Linked DNA regions of Neurospora crassa OR74A. The protein of the gene in region 2 interacts with the protein of the main gene of each other region in a pairwise test. Links are inferred from orthologs where the notes say so. Each region holds a gene or a part of one and is shown on either strand. Other genes may lie near its edges.

What was found.
Region 1: the proteins of NCU07683 (region 2) and NCU06678 interact in binary tests that used the Saccharomyces cerevisiae proteins (3 or more experiments, as listed by UniProt). The link is inferred for Neurospora crassa OR74A from reciprocal best matches to the Saccharomyces cerevisiae genes LSM4 and XRN1.
Region 3: the proteins of NCU07683 (region 2) and NCU06540 interact in binary tests that used the Saccharomyces cerevisiae proteins (3 or more experiments, as listed by UniProt). The link is inferred for Neurospora crassa OR74A from reciprocal best matches to the Saccharomyces cerevisiae genes LSM4 and PAT1.
Region 4: the proteins of NCU07683 (region 2) and NCU03778 interact in binary tests that used the Saccharomyces cerevisiae proteins (3 or more experiments, as listed by UniProt). The link is inferred for Neurospora crassa OR74A from reciprocal best matches to the Saccharomyces cerevisiae genes LSM4 and SMD2.
Region 5: the proteins of NCU07683 (region 2) and NCU06149 interact in binary tests that used the Saccharomyces cerevisiae proteins (3 or more experiments, as listed by UniProt). The link is inferred for Neurospora crassa OR74A from reciprocal best matches to the Saccharomyces cerevisiae genes LSM4 and DHH1.

What each region holds. Positions count from the first base shown.
Region 1 is NC_026505.1:4,232,082-4,236,304, reverse strand, and holds the start of NCU06678 (exonuclease Kem1), read left to right. Parts: upstream 1-1,332; 5' UTR 1,333-1,897; coding exon 1,898-1,902; intron 1,903-1,987; coding exon 1,988-2,081; intron 2,082-2,149; coding exon 2,150-2,456; intron 2,457-2,515; coding exon 2,516-4,223. UniProt on the Saccharomyces cerevisiae protein: Multifunctional protein that exhibits several independent functions at different levels of the cellular processes. 5'-3' exonuclease component of the nonsense-mediated mRNA decay (NMD) which is a highly conserved mRNA degradation pathway, an RNA surveillance system whose role is to identify and rid cells of mRNA with premature termination codons and thus prevents accumulation of potentially harmful truncated proteins.
Region 2 is NC_026504.1:2,247,534-2,251,074, reverse strand, and holds NCU07683 (small nuclear ribonucleoprotein), read left to right. Parts: upstream 1-1,382; 5' UTR 1,383-1,573; coding exon 1,574-1,576; intron 1,577-1,661; coding exon 1,662-1,802; intron 1,803-1,965; coding exon 1,966-2,016; intron 2,017-2,130; coding exon 2,131-2,328; 3' UTR 2,329-2,917; downstream 2,918-3,541. Other genes in the region: NCU07684 (hypothetical protein), read right to left, coding at 3,334-3,541. UniProt on the Saccharomyces cerevisiae protein: Component of LSm protein complexes, which are involved in RNA processing and may function in a chaperone-like manner. Component of the cytoplasmic LSM1-LSM7 complex which is involved in mRNA degradation by activating the decapping step.
Region 3 is NC_026504.1:1,578,039-1,582,298, reverse strand, and holds the start of NCU06540 (topisomerase II associated protein), read left to right. Parts: upstream 1-1,400; 5' UTR 1,401-1,757; intron 1,758-2,189; 5' UTR 2,190-2,236; coding exon 2,237-4,260. UniProt on the Saccharomyces cerevisiae protein: Activator of decapping that functions as a general and active mechanism of translational repression and required for P-body formation. First decay factor recruited to mRNA, at a time when the mRNA is still associated with translation factors.
Region 4 is NC_026505.1:2,382,381-2,386,105, forward strand, and holds NCU03778 (small nuclear ribonucleoprotein Sm D2), read left to right. Parts: upstream 1-1,552; 5' UTR 1,553-1,764; coding exon 1,765-1,790; intron 1,791-1,889; coding exon 1,890-1,922; intron 1,923-2,070; coding exon 2,071-2,122; intron 2,123-2,199; coding exon 2,200-2,405; intron 2,406-2,490; coding exon 2,491-2,533; 3' UTR 2,534-3,022; downstream 3,023-3,725. Other genes in the region: NCU03777 (mitochondrial 3-hydroxyisobutyryl-CoA hydrolase), read right to left, coding at 1-603, 678-800; dak-1 (dihydroxyacetone kinase 1), read right to left, coding at 3,106-3,674. UniProt on the Saccharomyces cerevisiae protein: Plays a role in pre-mRNA splicing as a core component of the spliceosomal U1, U2, U4 and U5 small nuclear ribonucleoproteins (snRNPs), the building blocks of the spliceosome.
Region 5 is NC_026507.1:1,629,033-1,633,419, forward strand, and holds the start of NCU06149 (ATP-dependent RNA helicase dhh-1), read left to right. Parts: upstream 1-1,382; 5' UTR 1,383-2,091; coding exon 2,092-2,135; intron 2,136-2,189; coding exon 2,190-3,855; 3' UTR 3,856-4,387. UniProt on the Saccharomyces cerevisiae protein: ATP-dependent RNA helicase involved in mRNA turnover, and more specifically in mRNA decapping by activating the decapping enzyme DCP1.

The DNA.
Region 1 (4,223 bases), on a different chromosome or scaffold from region 2:
TTGTGGCTAGTATAGAATGCCTTCGCCTGGGTTCGAATTCCCAATAGAATACCTCGATAAGTTTTATCTCTCTAGGGAGGAATAGTTCCAGAGGATGTTCGTTGCTAATGGTTAGTATAAGTAAAGCTTGTAATTATATGCGTATTGGGCTATAGTACCCCTCGATCTTCCTTAGGTTATTTTTTTTTTCTTTTTTTTTTTTTTCTTTTTTTATATTATTATCCTTAGGTTATTATTTACAACTAGTTTCATGTGTTGTCTTTATTTAGAGCCGGAATTAAAGTTTTTTATTTTTTTTTCGTTATACTTTCTTATTGTTATATTTATATTAAGGAATATATATTTTATACTATTATATCGAAATAGTCCTAAAGGAGGCGTATTTGGGGTAGCCTGAGGTGAATATTCTTATTGGCTACCTATACGGTACCCGTACTCTAATTTTCTTATATACCTAGGTTAGAGTTTTAATTTACAATTATTAGAAAGGGAATAATAGGAATTACTTCTATAAAGAATACCCGCCACTTAGGTAGCTTAGATAAGTAATTTAATATAGCGCTTTCTCCCCTACTACCTACCTCTATCAATATAAGTGTAATATTGATTGAAAATTGCTGTGAAATAATTGTAAGGCTTTTGTTACTTAGAATAGATATTAATTGTTGAATAAATAAATATAATTAAACAATTATTATATTAATAAGAATATTAGCTTGCAATTAGCAATTTAAGTGAGTATATTTATTATGTTGTATATTTTGTAGTTCGGGTCGTATTGTTGTGGTACAGTTCGCTGTTGTCGTACTTTTGTGCGCTGTTGAACGGTTAATTCCGTTTTGTATACAATACCGCGTTAATAGTCGTTGTACTATTAATTAAAACTACGTATTGTAAAATAAAACCAACTTCAATACAACAATATTCAATTATCTAGTAGATTACAGTAAGAAACAATATTGTGTAAGGATGTTGTAGCCCACAACCCCTGCTCAAGCGTTTTATACTATAAAGGCCTGCTACGCCCACTTTTGTCAGACCCCCCATTCCCTCCAGGGCAGTTCCGTTCCGCTCGTCGAGGGCGGAGGCTCGCTTGAGGTTCGTTACCTTGAGGTTCAGTAGTAGCTGGTGCGGGGAGAGAGCTGACAGTGACAGCCGGGAGCCTGATGAGGTGGCGGAGCGCTCACTACTGGCCTGGCCTGGCCGGGCCGAGCGCTAGTACCTAGCTCTAGAGGTACCTCTACCTCTACGACCGACGCTCACGCCGCCCCCAGGCACACAGTCAACCCGCGTGGGGCAACGGAGGCCAACTAGAAACTGCAGTGTGTCACAGCCTGAACACCTAGCCAGCCCGGAGCCCAGGACCCGACACCTTCTCCGTCCCATCCACACCTCTGACGGACCTTCCACTTTTGTTTCTCTTGCGGTTCCATCTCGTAGACATCACCCACTTCTTCCTTTACCTCCGTCTATCTCGAACATAGGCCGCCAACGTCCTAGGCCACTCCTCGGATTCTCAACCTTTCCGCTTTTCTTAGCACTATAGTAGCTTCTTTTCCCGATTGGCGCTGTCGGTTGCTCCAAGGACACTCCTCTTCTTCCCTTCCATAGACAGCATCTTCAGTCTTGGACCTTGCTGCTTCGTCCCCCCTCGGTTTATTGCACCATTGCGATCCCTGGAGGCTTCGCTATCTAGAAACCCGGCCATTATTATTCAGTGCCGGCATTTGAACGACCAGCTTGACGCCTCTCCTTCGCCCCCTGACAGCAGTAACTAAGTAGACTCCCCGTCTGCGACATCTCCTGCGACCGCTCAGCGCGCCCCAATTTCAGACCTCCTTCGCAAACTTCTAGTAGTGTACACATCTAGTCCGGCACCACAGGCCACTTAGTCAACATGGGGTATATGACTCCCACATCAAAGCTCCTCCCTCGCCGTATACGCGCGCGTTGTTCAGGCGTGTGGCTAATACCCCCTCTTGTCCAGTGTTCCCAAGTTCTTCAGATGGCTCTCGGAGCGGTATCCCGCCATTTCTCAGCTCATCGCCGAGAACCGTATCCCCGAGTTCGACTGCCTTTATGTTCGCTGCTCCCTCCCGAGGCCTGATGGCTGTCTTGCGTTACTTGCCTAGCTAACCGGTTTGCTCAGTTGGACATGAACGGTATCATCCACAACTGTACCCATAAGGACACGAGCGATGTACAATTTCGCATGACAGAGGAGGAGATGTTCATTGCTATATTCAACTACATCGAACATCTCTTCGGGAAAATCAAGCCCAAAAAGCTTTTCTTTATGGCTATAGATGGCGTTGCCCCTCGCGCAAAGATGAACCAACAGCGTGCTCGTCGTTTTCGTACCGCGCTGGACAATGAGAAGGCTAGAGATAAGGCGATTCGTGAGGGCAAGGAATTGCCCAAAGAAGAACCTTTCGACAGTAACTGCATCACACCTGGTATGTCTGGCGCTGGTGCCCGCTTGAATGTTTTCCCCGGAGGCTAACTAGCTGCATAGGAACCGAATTCATGGCCAAGCTCTCGCAACAGCTGAGATATTTCATCCATAAAAAGGTCTCGGAAGACAGGGACTGGCAACAGCCCGAGATTGTCTTGTCTGGACACGAGGTCCCTGGTGAGGGTGAGCACAAGATCATGGAGTACATCCGCAATGCGCGCGCTCAACTCGACTATGACGCGAACGTCCGTCACTGTTTGTATGGCCTCGACGCCGATCTGATCATGCTTGGCCTCCTCAGCCATGACCCTCACTTCTGCCTTCTGCGCGAGGAAGTTACCTTTGGCCGCGGCCCGTCTAAGCATAAGGCAAAGGGACTGGAGGAGCAAAACTTCTATTTGATGCATCTCTGCATAGTCCGCGAGTACCTGGAGCTGGAGTTCCAGGATCTCAAGAAACCTGGAGCCATGTCTTTTCCATTCGATATGGAAAAAGTTATTGACGACTTCATTCTTATGGCATTCTTTGTCGGAAACGACTTCCTTCCCAACCTTCCGCGGCTTCACATCAATGAAGGCGCTCTTTCGCTCATGTTTAGGATCTACAAAGAAATTCTTCCGCGCGGCGACGGATATATCAACGAGGGCGGTAAGGTCAACCTCCAGAGACTCGGCCTGCTTCTGGAAGAACTCGGCAAGGAGGAGTATCGCTTTTTCGAACATGAACATGAGGATCAAAGCTGGCTTCGGGCCAAGAAGATGCTTGAAGATAACGAGGCAGAGACAGCAAAGGCAAAGACCAAGGGCAAGCTCATCGTCACCACGAACCAGAAGAATCTCTGGAAGCAGAAGATCAGGAAATTCCTTATGAATAGGAGCACTAATACGCTTGACCTCGGTACCGAGTTGAAGGCCGAGGACCGCAAGTTTGTCCAAGACTTGGCTGATACTGCTCACATTCCTTGGGCAACTAAGGAAGATGACGAGGGACACCGCCACCTAATCCTGTCCTTCCCCGAGAGAGACGACGAGTCGGAAGAGGACGAGGAAGCCCAGTCAGCCGTTCTCCGTATCATCAAGAAGTACGACAACGCCCAAGTCCTGGATTTAACTGCGGCCGACTCGAAGGCTGCCATGGAGGTTAAATACCAGCAAAAGTTCCAAGAGTGGAAAGACAAGTACTATGCCGAGAAGTTTGAGGATTGGACCCCAGAGAACAAGGAGGACGAACTCCGCAAGTTGACGGAGAATTACGTCCAGGGTCTTCAATGGGTGCTCTACTACTACTACCGTGGTATTGCTTCTTGGCCCTGGTTCTATCGCTACCACTACGCTCCCCTGATTTCCGATGTCATGAAAGGCCTGAAAGCCGACCTTAATTTCAAGATGGGTCAGCCGTTCAAGCCATACGAGCAGCTGATGGGTGTCTTGCCAGACCGCAGCAAAAAGATCGTGCCGACAGCATATTGGGATCTTATGACAAACCCCAATTCTCCCATCATCGACTTCTACCCAAGAGACTTTGAGCTTGACATGAATGGCAAGAAGATGGATTGGGAAGCCGTTGTCAAGATTCCCTTCATTGACGAGAAGCGGCTGCTTGCAGCAATGGGCCCCAAGAACGAACTTCTCTCGGACGTTGAGAAGTCGAGGAACGATTTTGGCGTCGCACTCAAGTTCACTTATTCCGATTCGGTAGACTTTGAATACCCTTCCTCCCTTGTCGGAATCTTCCCGCCCATTCCCCACTGCCACTGTATCGAGAACAT
Region 2 (3,541 bases):
TATAGACGGGAAGCCAATATGAACTTTGGTTACAATTGAGGAACAATCTTGTCTTTATGTCATTTACATATCACAGTGAAATCCTCTTTCCCCCTTGTTTCTACCAGGTCTTGTTCTCGACTATAATGAACACGGCCAGGGCGCGTTGTCAAAACCAACTGAGCCATCGAAAAAGAAGGTTTGTGTAGGGCGTTCTACATGTCATTAAATCAACGGTCCAATATGCGAGAAATCCTCAAACTGTGACACTTACCGTTACTCTGAGGGGCGCGAGTTCACTAGGACACTGGGCTCAGAGAAGACAGGAGACACGGCAGATAATGAGATAAACAGCAAAATCAGTGAAGAGCAGGATGCGTTTCCTTGTTAGATCCCACTTATTACAAGGCTCAACAAATCCCTTCGAAACGATACATATGATAGTGCTATAGCCTCAAGTTCCAAACTATCTTTATCAGTCCACTGTTCAACAAGAGCTGCAATAAGGACTGGCGGGTGACTTTTTGGCAATGAATTACTACAGTCTGCTAGTACCATAACACGCACTCTACCTACGACAAATATACACTAGATATGGAGGTAAAGTCTAATGTCTCATTAGTGTCCGAGACTTCTTATTCAACTTTTAAATGTTGGAGGTCAATTAGTCCGGCTATCATTTTCTATATTCAACTCGGGAGCCTCAACTAAGCTTAAGCGTCGTTTGATAGGAACTCTCCTCAAGGGATATGGCAAACTGATTCAACATAGGCGCTTGACATGCCCATGAGTTACAGAAGACTGCGGGGAGTTCTAACTTTGAGCTCCAGCTATAGGGCGCAAAGCGCAAACACTGCATTACTCATTCAGGGCGTGTGGCTCAGTTGGTAGAGCGTTCGCTTAGCATGTTTCACAGCATGCGAAAGGTCCTGGGTTCGATTCCCAGCTCGTCCACTCTTTTTGACTCGATGTCTCTTTGCTCCCGCACTTTTCTTGAAATTACTTGGATCTGGATAACAGTATTTCCAATTGCAGTGAGAACCCGTTTTTTTTTTACTTACTGCTACTCTGAAGCTTTAGATAACAAATATACGTGGGATATTATTCCTTTTTGGCTGTCCCACCTTTTCTGTACACTAAGTATAGTGTATCTCGGGTTGCCGGTTGGCTACAGTCGAACCCCCTGAAACTGCATGTAATCCAGACCGCCAAAATCCATGCACTAAATGGCGTATATGCAGTTTCTGGAGGCGGGGCTTGGGCAAAAATGGCGGATTCAGACCTGGAAATTCTATGCACTAACTAGCATATATGCAGAATCTGGAGTATGCAGTTTCAGGGGGTTCGACTGTATTTGATTTTCGGCTCCCAGATATCCTGGTAAACCATGTCATTGCTCCACGCTACATTTGTTACTCCATAAGCTGTTGCGGCCGGCAAGCTCCAGCTACGCCACGGCGCCAGGACAGGCTTCCCGTCGCGGGCGCACTTCCCTTTGGTCACTACATCCAACACGTCAACTTCTCCTTTTGGTCTCCGTCGCAACAACAATAGGCAGCCTAACTAACGGCTGTCGATTTCCAAACTCACTACTATGGTACGTCGAATTCTCATTGCATATAGCGTCACTTCGGTATCCCTCTTGGAAATGTACTAACCTTTTGCTCCCTCGCAACAAACAGCTACCGTTAGGCATCCTCACCGCGGCGCAAGGCCATCCCATGCTCGTTGAGCTCAAGAACGGCGAAACGCTCAACGGCCACTTGATCCAATGCGATACATGGATGAATCTGACGCTAAGGGAGGTTGTTCAGACCAGCCCGGTTAGTGCTACCTCCTACCTCCGTCCCTCCGTCCCTTCGTTCGAGCGATGATGCACAGTGATGATGATGATGATGAGCGAGTGGATGAAACAAGCAATCCAACACGTCGAAGAGAATGTCGGGGACAAGGCAGCTTACCAACGAACTTTACATGACGTAATAGGAAGGCGATAAGTTTGTGAGGTTACCAGAGGTTTACGTCAAGGGAAACAACGTAAGTCTCGACATTGTCCCCTCCCCCTCCTTTTCTCTCTCTTCTTGCCTCTTGCCAGGAAAGGAGTCAACGATCAATCGACCAGCGGTTTCTAATGGTTATGGGGACAAACAGATCAAATATCTTCGAGTACCGGACGACGTGATCGACATTGCAAGGGAGCAGCAACACAGTCAACACGGTGGACACAGAGGCGGCCGCGGCGGCGGACAGAACAGAGGCGATTATGGCGGCCGTGGCGGCCGTGGCGGACGAGGAGGGGGCGACAGAGGTGGTCACAGGGGAGGCCGCGGCCGTGGCAGGGGCGCATGAGGTGGAATTCCATGTTCTTGGGACAGCGAGCGAGGCGCAACGACCACCCAACGTAGGGAAGTACGGCCTTTTGATAATGATACGATCGATGAACGAGAGGCGCGAGGGGCCGCCGCGATTGTGCGTAGGGGTGAGAGGAAAGGGATGGAGAGCATCAGCCAAGAAAGAAACATGGGCTGCATCTTGCACGGTCCGAATGGGCTTTCACACAAAACCCAGGCGGGGTTGAATGGGGCACGAAGACCATCTCCAGCGACAGACATGCATGATGGTTCATGGGCAGTCATCGTGTGGGCTTTTTGGAAGAGGCCTGGCTCGGACACATAGACCGGACTAGGTGTTCGATGCATCAGCATGGAATTTACGGCACGAAGGATATGACTATTTTAAAGCAAAAGATACCCAAGCTTGAAGTTCCTGGTTGATTTTCTCTTGCACCTAACACAAAAGGCACATTGTATCGCATTATCGTCATTTGAGAGATTCTTTTCCGTTATCAACAAGCATTGAAAGGATTACAAAACTGGCGGCGTCCTGAGACCTCCATGTCACACAAAAATGATGCACTTCGCGGGCGACTTGTTGCAGCTTTTGAGGCAACGAAATAATTGCCCATGGCAAGGAAACAGGTGGTACGGAGCGGCTACAACTATGGAAGGAGTTACTCCAAAAAAAAAAAAAAAAAAAAAAAAAAAAAAGAAGAAAAAGAAGAAAGAAGGAAGAAAAAAAAAGAAATTAGAGGAAAAAACTCAAAAGTTGAGGTCGTACCCGGAATCGAACCGGGGTTGCCGGAATGTTCTGAAGGAAATCAGAATCCGGAGTGATAACCGCTACACTATACAACCTTGTGAGTTGTTTTAGTTGATTTGTTCACTCGCCTGATTCTCTTATAATGACCACTACCAGATTCTAGCAAGCCATTGAACTAGTTATATAATCTCCATTCCGATGCTTTTGAGTATTTCAGTAATTCTTCTTTTTTTTTTCTCTTTTTTCTTTTCTTTATCAAGCTGCAGATGCGCTCGATGTTTTGAGATCGCCAGCATCCAAAGCCTCTTCATACGCTGGACGCACGGCGCCCATCATCGTGGTCTCTTCTTGCACTCTTTGATCCGACACAACTGTCTCCTTTGGCATCTCGGCAAGCAACTTCTTGATCTCAATCTCGAGGTCGATCTTCCTCTCCCTGGCCACATCAACAACTGCCCACGCT
Region 3 (4,260 bases), about 670 kb from region 2:
TAAATACCCCTGGATACTTTGTTCTGATACTTGGGGACTTGGATATTAGAGGAATGTCTAGCATGGAGATGCTGGTATCTCAAGTGCTGTTCATGTTTCGGCCTCTTTAGAGGTAGTTAGGTGCGAACTAGCCTGTAATGAAAACATCCCAAAAGTGTCGGTATCTACCTACAACATCCTCAGCAACGTCCGCAAGTGGCCTAAATAATATCTACATACCTACCAGAAGCTATCGCATTCCCCGTTCCTGATGGTCGCTTGCGGTGCATTCCCCTGAGCACCTCAATGTTTCCGTCCGGCCAGGACCAAAAGATTGGCCGCGGGGGTAGGCGGCAGGGAAAGACATTAGGGTGCCCTCGGTGCCCCCACAGCTTCGTCGTCACCTGTATCCGCAGGTACCCCATTATTGCGGGCCGTGACGGTTCTAGCGTGGCCCTGTTAGTAAGGGACAAAAACCCCCTTGAGACGGGCGTCGTCAACTTCCAGGGGCACTACCTACCTCTACGACGACTTCAGTTCACATGTCGCATCCGTCAACGGAGGGGTATGTCTTGAGCTTCTTGATCCTTTTACCACGCTGAGAAGTGGCTGATTAGCTCATACTATGATACTTGGGTTAATATGATCTGCTGCCGGCCTGCTCCCTCCGCATTGCTCCTCCGATCGGAGTAGTTCTTCAAGATGGCGAAGAACACCGACTTGAGTGATGGCCATGATACCTCCCTCTCAAAAGAAACAACAGGGAAATACCAGGCCCCTGATATAATTCAAGTTCGACTGCATACTATGTACAGTAAAGTCACCTGTCAAGAAAACAGCCTTAAGATAGCCATGCCATGTTTGCCTCTGTCCATGTCCGCGCTTCCGCTTCACCTGCATCGGAATGGCGAATTCACATACTTAGAAGCACAGTCTAAACAGCTGCGTTTAGTCACGGATGTCACGGCAGCAAAATGGATGCCTGAGCTACTGTCCTTGCCCTTCAGCTTTCTTGCCAAAATCGATATCTCGAGCTTGAAATTTGGTTGTCGGCTTGGCGTTAAATGTTGACCATGAGGTTGCCGTCCCGTCCGGGTCTCATGTTGTAGCCTCCAGTTGATCACTGTTACGCATCACAACTAGCGGGCGGGTATCGCCGATTGGCTCATCGGATAAAACAACTTGCAAGACTGGAAGGATGGAATGGACATTCTTGCCGGCGGTTGAGGATCCCACAGCCCGGCAGGCAATGGGCCTCTGGTTGCCGCCCAACCGTGGCAATCACTCCCCCGGCCGCGGCCTTGGAAGTCCCATCGTCAGTCAACGAACGGCAAGACAGGAGGGTGGTGTGTCAAAGCGTCAGGCCTACCGCCGCCCGCCCACCTGTTGCCAGGCTCCATTGGCCCTCGGGGGCGATTGGTCCACAGCTCCCTGATCTGGCTTCTGAGTTGGAGTTGGCCTGACTTCATCCATCTGCGTCGGTCTCTTGTCGCCTTTTGCGCTGCCATCAAGCTACCACTCCGAGCAACCGCATCCACATCTTCACCGCGGCGCACCCAGTTGCGCTTCCGGTCGTTAGTTCACAGCCTTCTTTGCTTCTCTGTTTTAATATTTCCAAGCCGAGCGCTGAGTATTTGTTGCCGCCCTGACAAGCTCTGCTCCGCTCCTTTGCACGAGTCGCACCGCCGTCGACACGTCTCCTTTCCCTTCACGTCGCGCATCGCAGCATCATGGTGCTTGACCAAACCGATCATACCAACATCTTTACATATCGTTCTGTACGTTGTTCTTTGATTTCTCTACAGCGTGCTTGCAACCTCGGTATGGCAAGGTCATGGGATGAAAGTTGGGCTCCCATGTCCCAATTCTCCATCTTCCATGTCGTTGTTGTTGCCCCGCGCTTCAAGAGACAGCTCACCACCCCCAGCTAGGTGGAACATCCATCGAGTCGCCCCTCTGCTTGGCTCGGGCTGTTTGACCACTGGACCTTCAAGCCCTTCCTGTTTCCCCTTCCACCCAGAACTTCGTGAACCTGCGTCACGGCTGTTCCTTCTTTATACTTCTCGTCCCACTCACCAACCAGGGTCTCGTCTTTTGCTTTGCCCCTCATTTTCCTCTGTGCCCTTGCCAATCAGCCAAAGCTCAACATCGCACCCGGATTTGCGCCGCAACGATCTTTCTTCGCTCAACGTATACTGACCCTACAATAGTGATACCTCTGTAGAAATTTTCCATAAACCCAACAGGCATCGCCAATATGTCTTTCTTCAACTTCGACCAGTCTCGCCATAATACCGCCGCTCCCGGCTTCTCCCAGGCTCACGATCCCTTTGCCAGCCTAGCCAACCGGGACGAGGAAGCCGAAGAGATCGACTTCGAGGACACTTATGACGGCTTGGGTGACCAGCTGGATGAGACCGACGATGCCTTCAATGATGATACTTTTGGCGGCGATACTGGCGAGCCGGGTCCTGTAGGCAAAGACTTTGACTTCTTTGGCCACACCGCCAAGGTCGCGAACGTCATTGAAGAGGAAAATGTTCGTTTCAACCGCCAACAACCAGCTGCCAAGGCTCCCCAGCCTGTCGCGCAGCCATCGGCCTATACGCCCATCGCCGGACCCTCGTACAACTATTTCGCGCAGGCTCCAGTTAGACCTGCCAGGACCGGCTACGAAAAATACCACGAGCAGCCGATCGAGGATCTTCAGGTTGACGCTGCTCTCTGGGGTGTCGCACCCAAGAAGCAACCGCCGCCGCCTGCTCAACCTGCCGTCCCTAGCGCGCCGTCTGGGGGCCGCAAGATGCTGAGTCTTGAGGAGGTTGAGGCTCAGATGCGCGCCCAGGCTAAGGCGGCCACCCCATCTCCCGCTCCTCAGCATCAGCCCCATCAAATTCCACATGAACAGGCTTACCTCTACCAGCACCAAGCTCAGAACCAGCCGCAGGCTCACTTCCAAGCCGGTGTCGTTGAACCTCTGTACCATCAACCGCAGGGACATCCCATGACAATTCTTCAGCGGCCTCACTCGAAGCCTCCTACGCCAGCCCAGCCCTCTTCCCAACCGCCCGCTATTCAACAGCATCAGCAACCCGCTGTTCCTCAGCAGCCTACTCAGATCCTGCAGAACCCCAACCGTCTTTCAGGCGACGCGGCTAAGATCGGGCTGCCTGTTCACCCTACGCCTCCGTCCGGTCCTCAGTCCGCTCACCAGGGCCACAGGCAACAAGGCTCTCTTCCGCGACAGCCCCCTATGATTCTTCATCCTGCCCAGCTGGCTCAGCTCTCGGAGGAGGAAAAGGCTGCGTATCTTGAACAGGAAGCTAAGCGCGCCAAGCGCAACCACAAGATCTTCCAAATGTCTCGCGACAATGGTATCATGACGCCACAGGACAAGAATTTCATCACCCGGATCCAGCTTCAGCAGCTTGTCGCAGCCACTGGAAATCCCAATGAACACGGCACAGACGAGTCACTCGCCGAGGACTTTTACTATCAAGTCCATAGTCAGATCCAGGCTGGCCATCGCCAGCACCCCAGCCAGCCTCTGAACCAGTTCGCTCAGACTTATCTGTTTCAGACAGGAAGCCGTCAAGGAGGTATGCGCCGCCATAACAGGGGTCCTGAAAACCATATGCAGAGGATGGAACAACAGGTCCAGCGTGCTGTTGAGGCGGCCAAGAACAAGCCCAAGAATAAGCAGCTTGTTATTGAAGGTAGCTTGGGCAAGATTTCCTTCAGCAACGCCAAGACCCCGAAGCCGCTTCTCAACATCAAGCGTAACGACAGCGCCAGCGATGTGAAGAAGGCACCGCATCCTGTTAATGGCCGGGACAAGAAGGACGAACTGAGGGCCCTCGAGCTGGTATACACTACACTTATGAAGATGGAAGACCACGAACGCAACATGCCTATGGCGCCTGCCGAGGACGATCAAGAAGCTCTTGCCAAGGTCTTTGCATGGAGTAACGAGGGACAGGCGTTGAATGAGCAGCTTTGGAAGGCTCTGAGGGTGCAGGATCACGACCAGCCAGGCCGCATCCACCCCTTCATGGCCCTTCTCAGTTACAGTAAGGGCAAGAAAGCCATACCGCGCATCTTCCGTCACACGAACCACGAGCAAAGAATTACCATTTTCACACGCATTGTCGTGAATCTCGACCAACTCGACGTTGTCCGAGAAGCTCAGGTTACAACTGATGACATCCAGTTCAACGCCGCTATGCGTGAAAACATTGAGCTGTTCTCGGCTGCTATAGTAACCACGCTGTTCACGTTTAT
Region 4 (3,725 bases), on a different chromosome or scaffold from region 2:
GTGGGTGGCAATGCCGGCGTAGTAGACCTGGACACCCTTCAGCAGGGCGCTGGTGAGACCGAGGTAGGGGCCGACCTGGCCAGGCATCCTGGGGAGGAAGAAAGAGGCGCCGACGTCGGGGAAGAAGCCAATCTTGGTCTCGGGCATGGCGAAGACAGTGCGCTCGGTCGCAATTCTGAAGGGGGCGTGGATGCTGAGACCAACACCACCTCCCATGGTAATGCCGTCGAGGAAAGCCACGTAAGGCCTGGTGTAGGTGGAAATCAGGTGGTTGAGCTTGTATTCGAGGCCGAAATAGTCGACGGATTTCTTGACGCCCTCGGGGCCCTCGGCGTTCTGCTTGGCCAGCGCGGCAACATCACCACCGGCGCAGAAGGCCTTCTCTCCGGAGCCCTTGATGACGATGACGTTGGCCATATCGGAGCGTTCCCATTCGAGGAGACGGGGCGCGATCTTGCGGATCATGGAGCCATTGAGGGCGTTGTACTTGGCTGGGCGGTTGAGCTCGACGGAGCGGAGATTATATAGACTGTTGAAGAGGACATCCTCGGGCTCGTCACCCTCGACGGGCTTGAACAACTCGGCGGCGGCTTGGGTCGAGATCTGGGAGGAGGGGGCGGCGAGCGTGTTAGCTGTGTCCGTGTCCATGGCTTTTGTCTTCCCAAGGAGCGTCTTACTGGGGCCTGCTGGCCCAGGACTTTGGCTCTGAGCGGCATCGCGGTGAAGCTTGGTCGGCAGCTGCGAGAAGCAACAGCAGAAGCCAAGCCGGCGCGGCTGGCAATGGACTTGGAGACCAACATCGATGTACACTTCGGTAATTGGCTGGCTGGCTGGCTTTGTCTAGAATAGGAATGGAATAACAAGACCCAGGGTCAATATGGAAGAAAAATACTAAGTCCAAAATCCACCCCGAGGCTGTTTAGCACCGTTGTTGCATCATAGACCGGCCAAGGGACTCGGGCACTTTTTTTCGGGACTCGTTTTCCTGGGCTGGGAAAGGGAAAACGGGAGAACAATCACCAATGATCTGAATGCCGCGTGGATGCAGGAACCGTGATAAGTGATAGCGAGAGTATCTGCAAATCCACTTTTTGCTGGAATTCAACGCGAAATGGAGCTCCAGCTTCAATTGATTTTCAAGGGCACCGCGCCTGGCAATCCCCGGGGCGGGGTTAGGTACGGGGGAGCTAATACATAGTGTAGAGGTAGCTGTGGAACCTGCCGAATCCCCGCCGCTATCGCTAGAAGCTGGAATATCCTCCGGCCGATGATACCTCTATCCATTCAAACTTGTCATTTTCCAGAAGCGACGCTCGGGCCCTCCGCTCACTGGAAACCCGATGTCCCGGCTGTCCGGGGGAGCATGTCGGGTTCGGCGGGGCTGGCAGCACCTGTCACCGGAGCGGTCCTCAGCCTTTCGCATTGGGATCCACCGTGAGCTTGTCATCCAATCGCCAAACTTTGAAGACGGTTCTGTTCCCAGAAAAGCTTGGCGCGTGTGCTGTAGCTGCTCCACGCTCCGAGTCGCCGCCGCGCCTGGCCCTCCGCTGCTGCAACATTTCCCGTCGTGGATTGAAGATAGCGATAGCATCCATTACAGCAACTATTGTCCAGGCTTCTACCGTACACCACCAACCCATACCACGCGAAGCAACCACTCGACGTCAACAACCATTTTTGATACAAAGACAAAACTACAACTCATTTGCCCCTCCTACATTTCAGTACCACTCCAATTCAACTCTAGACCAAAACACCATCGTCATGGCTTCAGCGGATGCAAAGATTCAGTCAGTAGCTATCCCACTCTCCAGCATCAACCCATGTGCGCGGGCAGCCCATGGACGCTTCAAGGAAACCAACTTGACTAACAACTGTCTACTATACAGGGAGCTTCTCACGAAGCCGCGCAATGAGCTTACGTACGTTATATCCTCTTGTCAACATCACCTCCCTCTGTTACCATCGTCATCTCGCCCGCCCTGCTGCTCCCAGCTCCTCCTCTTTGCGACCCAAGACCACGACGCCCGCCCAGCCAAATCACAAAGCTAACCAACTCGTCTGATACAGTGAATACGAAGTTTCTCTCCTCGAAGAGCACGAGTTCTCCGCCGGTCCTCTGGTACATATGCCCCATAAGCCTTGATCTACCACCCCTTCGACACGGAGCAGCGACTAATATGACACCCTTTTTGGCAGTCCATCCTCCAGACCGCCGTCCGCAGCCACTCCCAAGTCCTCATTTCCGTCCGCAATGGGCGCAAGATCCTTGCGCGCGTCAAGGCTTTCGATCGCCACATGAACATGGTGCTGGAGAACGTCAAGGAGATGTGGACCGAGACGCCCCGACTGGCCAATGGCAAGAAGGGCAAGCCCGTAAACAAGGACAGGTTTATCAGCAAGATGTTTGTGCACTTCCTTTTCATCTGTTGTTTCTCTCGCCCAGGAGAAGCGAAGATCAATGGCTGACATGTTTCACTTTCCTGGCAGGTTCCTGAGAGGCGACTCCGTCATCCTTGTCCTCCTCAGCTAGTTCACGAATAGCACGGCAAAATGTATAGGTTGGAGGTTTATTTCACTTGCACGGCGAAGACACGCGCCAGCACAACTTAGGGTTAATGGCTCGAATGGAGTGGGGATGAGCCCGGGAAGGGTACCTATTGTTGGTCGACTGAATCGAGAGACATGCGGACTATATCACCTTACTACTACTCAACCGCTCGATCGACCATGATGACGACACAACCACGAAAGCAATTCAAAACGCCCCGTGAAAAGGCGCCGCGCAGGAACGAGAGGAAAGAAGAGAAACCCAAGCAGATTTTCAGGGGCTATTAGGAAGGTCATACAAAGGGAAAACTAGTGTGAGCTCGGCGTTCAAACGTGTATTTGGTTTTGTTTAACTTTTTATCTTTCATTTCTGGTAACTTGATCGAACAGAATACCCAGACCGTGTTTAGGTTTTCGCAGACGCGGTCATGTTTTCTCGTGCTTTTTAACGACAAGCAACGGGATGATTTGTATTGGTGTTCCTGGTACGTCATTGAAATGGTGGTGCAAACTAACTACCTAGGGGTATATCGAGATCACATACAGCACCAATTCTTACGGCAATTCCGCCTCTCTTGTAACCTCCTCCCATCCATCATCCGATCCCTTGGCCTGCTTAGCACTGGAATCATCAGCCTTTTCAATTCCAGCCAGTCCAAGGAAGAACTTGGCCAATCCCCAAGCGCCCGGATCCGGCACCTGCTCGAATCCGGACCCGCCAATGTAGACGGTGCGGCCCAACTTGGCCTTCATACCCTTGGTGCCCTCAGCTCCCTGCTTGGCAGCCTCGGCCGCCTTCTTCACATCACCGGTCTTTTCGAGCGCATCGACAAAGGGATAGAGGGCATCAACCAGGGTGCGGTCACCGGGACGAGCGGGCGTGTACTTGGACAGGGCCTCACAGCTCAGTTTGAGGGCTGCGGCCCAGGCATTTTCATCAGCAGCTTTCTTGTCCGACTCCCCTCCACCGACAGTGTGGAGAGAGGCGACCAGAGCGTTGAGGAAGATGCCGTAGAGAGCACCCGAGGTACCGTCCATGGTTTGCTCGACCACGGTGACGATCTTGGCGAGGTCAATGGCTGCATCGCCTGTTAGGGGGTTGGAGTCGAGATGCGACAAGATTGCTGGCATTCTGTTAGCTATCAGGGGGAAAAGGGGTTGTTGTTGCTAGGGGG
Region 5 (4,387 bases), on a different chromosome or scaffold from region 2:
TAATTTCTCAACGTGGTTTATTGCAAAACTCACTCCACGTTCTAAATAGAGATAACTTTAAGAGGAGATACTAATGCAAGTTGTCCGAAAAGATACACTCGAACGGGGGGCAAAAGCGTAAGTACTAAAGTCACTTTCCGAAAAGTATCTCAGATTCTATCCACTATAATGCACTCTAAATGCACTATAACCAAAAATCCTTTTCAAACTCTCATTTGAACAATTGTGATTACACTACTAAACCAATGAAGTCAATTTCATTTATATATCTGGGGAGTATAACTATTTAACTCTGTCCTCCTTTAGTGCATCTGCTTTTGAAAGGTAGTTGGCATGAAAACTAGGGAGTGATAGAGTTGAGTTTTGGCCCTTTTTGCGGGTAAAAAAGAAACGTGTTTTATTTTTGGTCCGGGACTGTACCCTTAAGGGGGGGCTAGCCTTTTTACAGTAAAGCTGGCGCCCAACTGCAAGCCATCTGCAAGCCCACTGTAGCCTCTGGGCGCTCAGAGTGGGTATGTGAACGTGGCTACACCTGGCACAAGGTGTGTGCAGGAGGCTGTCAGCTGTAGGGCGCTCGCTTACAAACCTAGATCGGGTAAGGTGGCCCGCCGAGCCCGCTAAAGGGGGAGCTAAGGGGTATCCAAATCGAATTGAAAAAAGCGGTACTACTAGACTTAGTCGAATGTACCTCTCTGTAGGTACCTATGTACATACTTGACACTGGGCACGCAAGACGGCAGTGAAGAGACGGGCATGATGTACACATTCATGGATCTGACCGTGCTGGAAAATATCGAACTGTTTTCCAATTGTCAAACTTTTTGTCAACTTTGATCATTACTTTGTCCAATTTCGGCTACCTACGTAACAAAGCCCAGAAGGACGTCCATGGACGGGATGTCGCCCGCGATATCCCACCAGTGCGCCGGATGACGTCGATATATACAATGTAGAGGTACGCTAGGTACACTGGGCCACCACCAGAACTACTATGCAGTGTACACTACCCAGGCCAACAGAGAGGAGGCACAGGCAGCGGTCATAGTGTAGGTACACTAGTAGAGGTATAAACCGAATTGCCCCTGAAGTGGGACTGGAAGGCGATGCCGCGGCCGACTTGTGGCCTATGAGTGGCGCCCCCCGCCGCCTTCCATTATGAGACGAGATACACTACACTACGCAGGTATGGAAATGGAGGTCCCGTTCGGTCCCGTCGTGGTGGACACGCTGCTGATTGTGCGATACACAACTGGACTGGAAGGCGCAGGCAGGGTTCGGCAGGGAACATCAAGGGAACACGTGATCCGAGACCCTTTCGGCAGTGGAGTGAACAGTTTTGACGAGGAGAGGAGACTGGACCTGGGACCTGGACGCTCCGGCTCCTTCGTCCACTCACTCGCCCAGTCCTAAACAGCACTGAATCATTCACGACTTCCGCACCGCCTCGCCTCGTCCAAGCTTCGGAAGTTTCCCTCAAACTCTCTGCCTTTCTGCCCCGCTTTCAGACGACGACCACCACCACCACCACAACAACGACAACACTTCAATCACAACAGAACAGAAACACTTTGAGCTCGCTGCAAAGCACCATCTCGTCCCACTCTCCCAACGGCATCGCACACGTCGCTTTGATTCGCCCTTCAGTTTTCACAGGCCAATCAAGTCCCAGCCGTCGACCCCGAATCGGATTCCTCGCAGCCTCTCCCACAAAAGACGTCGCTTGACTTCGAGGCATACAGGCAAAATCAAACGACTGAGAACGTCCTTGGTGCTCCCACACGCAACGAGCCTCCTCGCGACCCCATCCCCATCCACCGCCGTCTCATCTTTGCCCCACGACCGCTCGCGACAGGCCTCCGCCTCCGCCTACAAAGCTACATCTGTCTGGCTCTGCTCACCGTCAACAGACCGAAAAACAAAAGAGAAAGAGGGGATTCCCACCCACAACTAGTGCTCCTCTCCCCTTGTCAACCACTTGTCCATTTCGCTACACACACCCGGAGACGAAGCCATCGCGCTCTACGCTCTCCTTTCTGCAACATCTGAGCCTCGACCACGGGTTCCACAACCGAACAACGACCATCCGGCAAAATGTCCGACCAACTAGCGGATCAGTTGAAAGCTACTAGTCTGAGGTAGGTTGACCGCCTTCCCTTCTGTCCCAAACCCAGCTGACATGTTTTTGATAGCTCAGGCCCGGAAGACTGGAAAAAGGGACTTAACCTACCTGCCAGGGACACAAGACAACAGACCGAGGATGTTACAAACACGAGGGGTCTGGATTGGGAAGACTTCATACACGACAGGGATCTCTTGATGGGCATTTTCGAGGCTGGCTTCGAGAAACCGTCCCCGATTCAGGAAGAAGCGATCCCCGTTGCCCTCACCGGCCGAGACATCCTCGCACGCGCAAAGAACGGCACCGGCAAGACCGCCGCTTTCGTCATTCCCGCCCTCAACAAGATCAACCCTAAGGTCTCCAAGATCCAATGCCTTATTCTCGTTCCCACCCGTGAGCTTGCCATGCAGACATCCCAAGTCTGCAAGACGCTCGGCAAGCATCTCGGCATCAACGTCATGGTGACAACCGGCGGAACTGGCCTGCGGGACGACATTGTGCGTCTGCAGGACCCCGTACACATCGTCGTCGGAACACCAGGTCGTATCCTCGATCTAGCTGGCAAGCAGGTGGCCGATCTCAGCGAGTGCCCAATGTTCATTATGGACGAGGCTGATAAGCTCCTGTCGCAAGAGTTTACCCCCGTCATTGAGCAGCTCCTGCAGTTCCACCCCAAGGATCGTCAGGTCATGCTGTTCTCCGCCACTTTCCCTCTTTCGGTCAAGGATTTCTCGGACAAGAACATGACTAGCCCGTACGAGATCAACCTCATGGACGAGCTTACGCTCCGCGGTATCACTCAATACTATGCCTTTGTTGAGGAGAAGCAAAAGGTTCACTGCCTCAACACTCTGTTTTCCAAGCTGCAGATCAACCAGTCCATCATTTTCTGCAACTCTACCAACCGCGTCGAACTGCTTGCCAAAAAGATCACTGAGCTTGGATACTCGTGCTTCTACAGTCATGCCAAAATGGCTCAGCAGGCGAGAAACCGTGTCTTCCACGACTTCCGCAACGGTGTTTGCCGCAACCTGGTCTGCTCGGATCTCCTCACCCGCGGTATTGACATTCAGGCAGTGAACGTTGTCATCAACTTCGATTTCCCCAAGAACGCCGAGACGTACCTCCACCGTATTGGTCGTTCTGGTCGTTATGGTCACCTTGGTCTTGCTATTAACTTGATCAATTGGGATGACAGATTCAACCTTTACAACATTGAGCGCGATCTTGGTACAGAGATCCAGCCCATTCCTCAGACCATTGACAAGAGCCTCTACGTGTACGAGAACCCTGAATCGATTCCCCGGCCCATCTCGACCTTCAAGCCTATTGCCCAGCAGCCGCAACAGCAATTGCAGCAATCGCAAAGGCCTCAACAGTCTCAACAGCAACAGCATTTCTCAACACAGACACAGCCGTCAAACCAGCTCCCGCCTCAACAGGGCAACCAACAACTTGGCTTCAATCCTCAAGCTCAACAGCCTCACAGACCCATCCCCCAGGCCCAGGGTGATTGGCAAGGGCAAAACGGTCGCCAAAATGGCACAGGTGCTTCCAACAACCAACCCAGACCCACCAACTACCAGAACAATCGCGGGCAGCCCGGTAGCAGCCGCGGAGGTCGTGGACGTGGTTTCCAGGGCCAGGGAGGCCGTCAGAACCAGAACTACGGTGGTCAGCGCGGTCCTCGTACCCAAGGTCAGGGCCAGCCTCAGGGTCCACTGTCTGCCCAGTAGGGTAAACTCTCCCAACAAGTTTTGGAAGGAGGGGGATATGTGGTAATGTGAGGAGGTGTGCGACCATGCATCGCTTCCACGTTGTTTTGTCTTTGAATTGTACATATTAGTCGTCCTTTTTTTTCGGCCATCTCTTTCTGTTCCTCCCGAACTGTGAATGGGCTACCATGACGGCAAGTGTTGTCCCTCGGCCTGTCAGGTTTGCGTTTACGCTACGGCAGACTCGTCTATCACACTCTTTCTGCCGACCCTGCAAACAGTTCAACGACATGCACGGAACTGTACTACGACACATTCTCTTTTGGAGTTTGCCCCATTTCAAGGATTTTTCGATACGGTCCAGCTTCATCCTGTTCGCATTCACGGCTTACAACGCTTCGGCATGGGCGCGGAGTCTTGGGTGGTGTGGGGTTTATACGTCTTTGTTGGCTTCATGGCGGAAGCGGCTTTATACTCCATGAGGCGCTGCGAGATTTCTTTTTCCTCCATTGAAACGCTTCCCATCCCTTATACCCAACACAGTTCCTCGTTC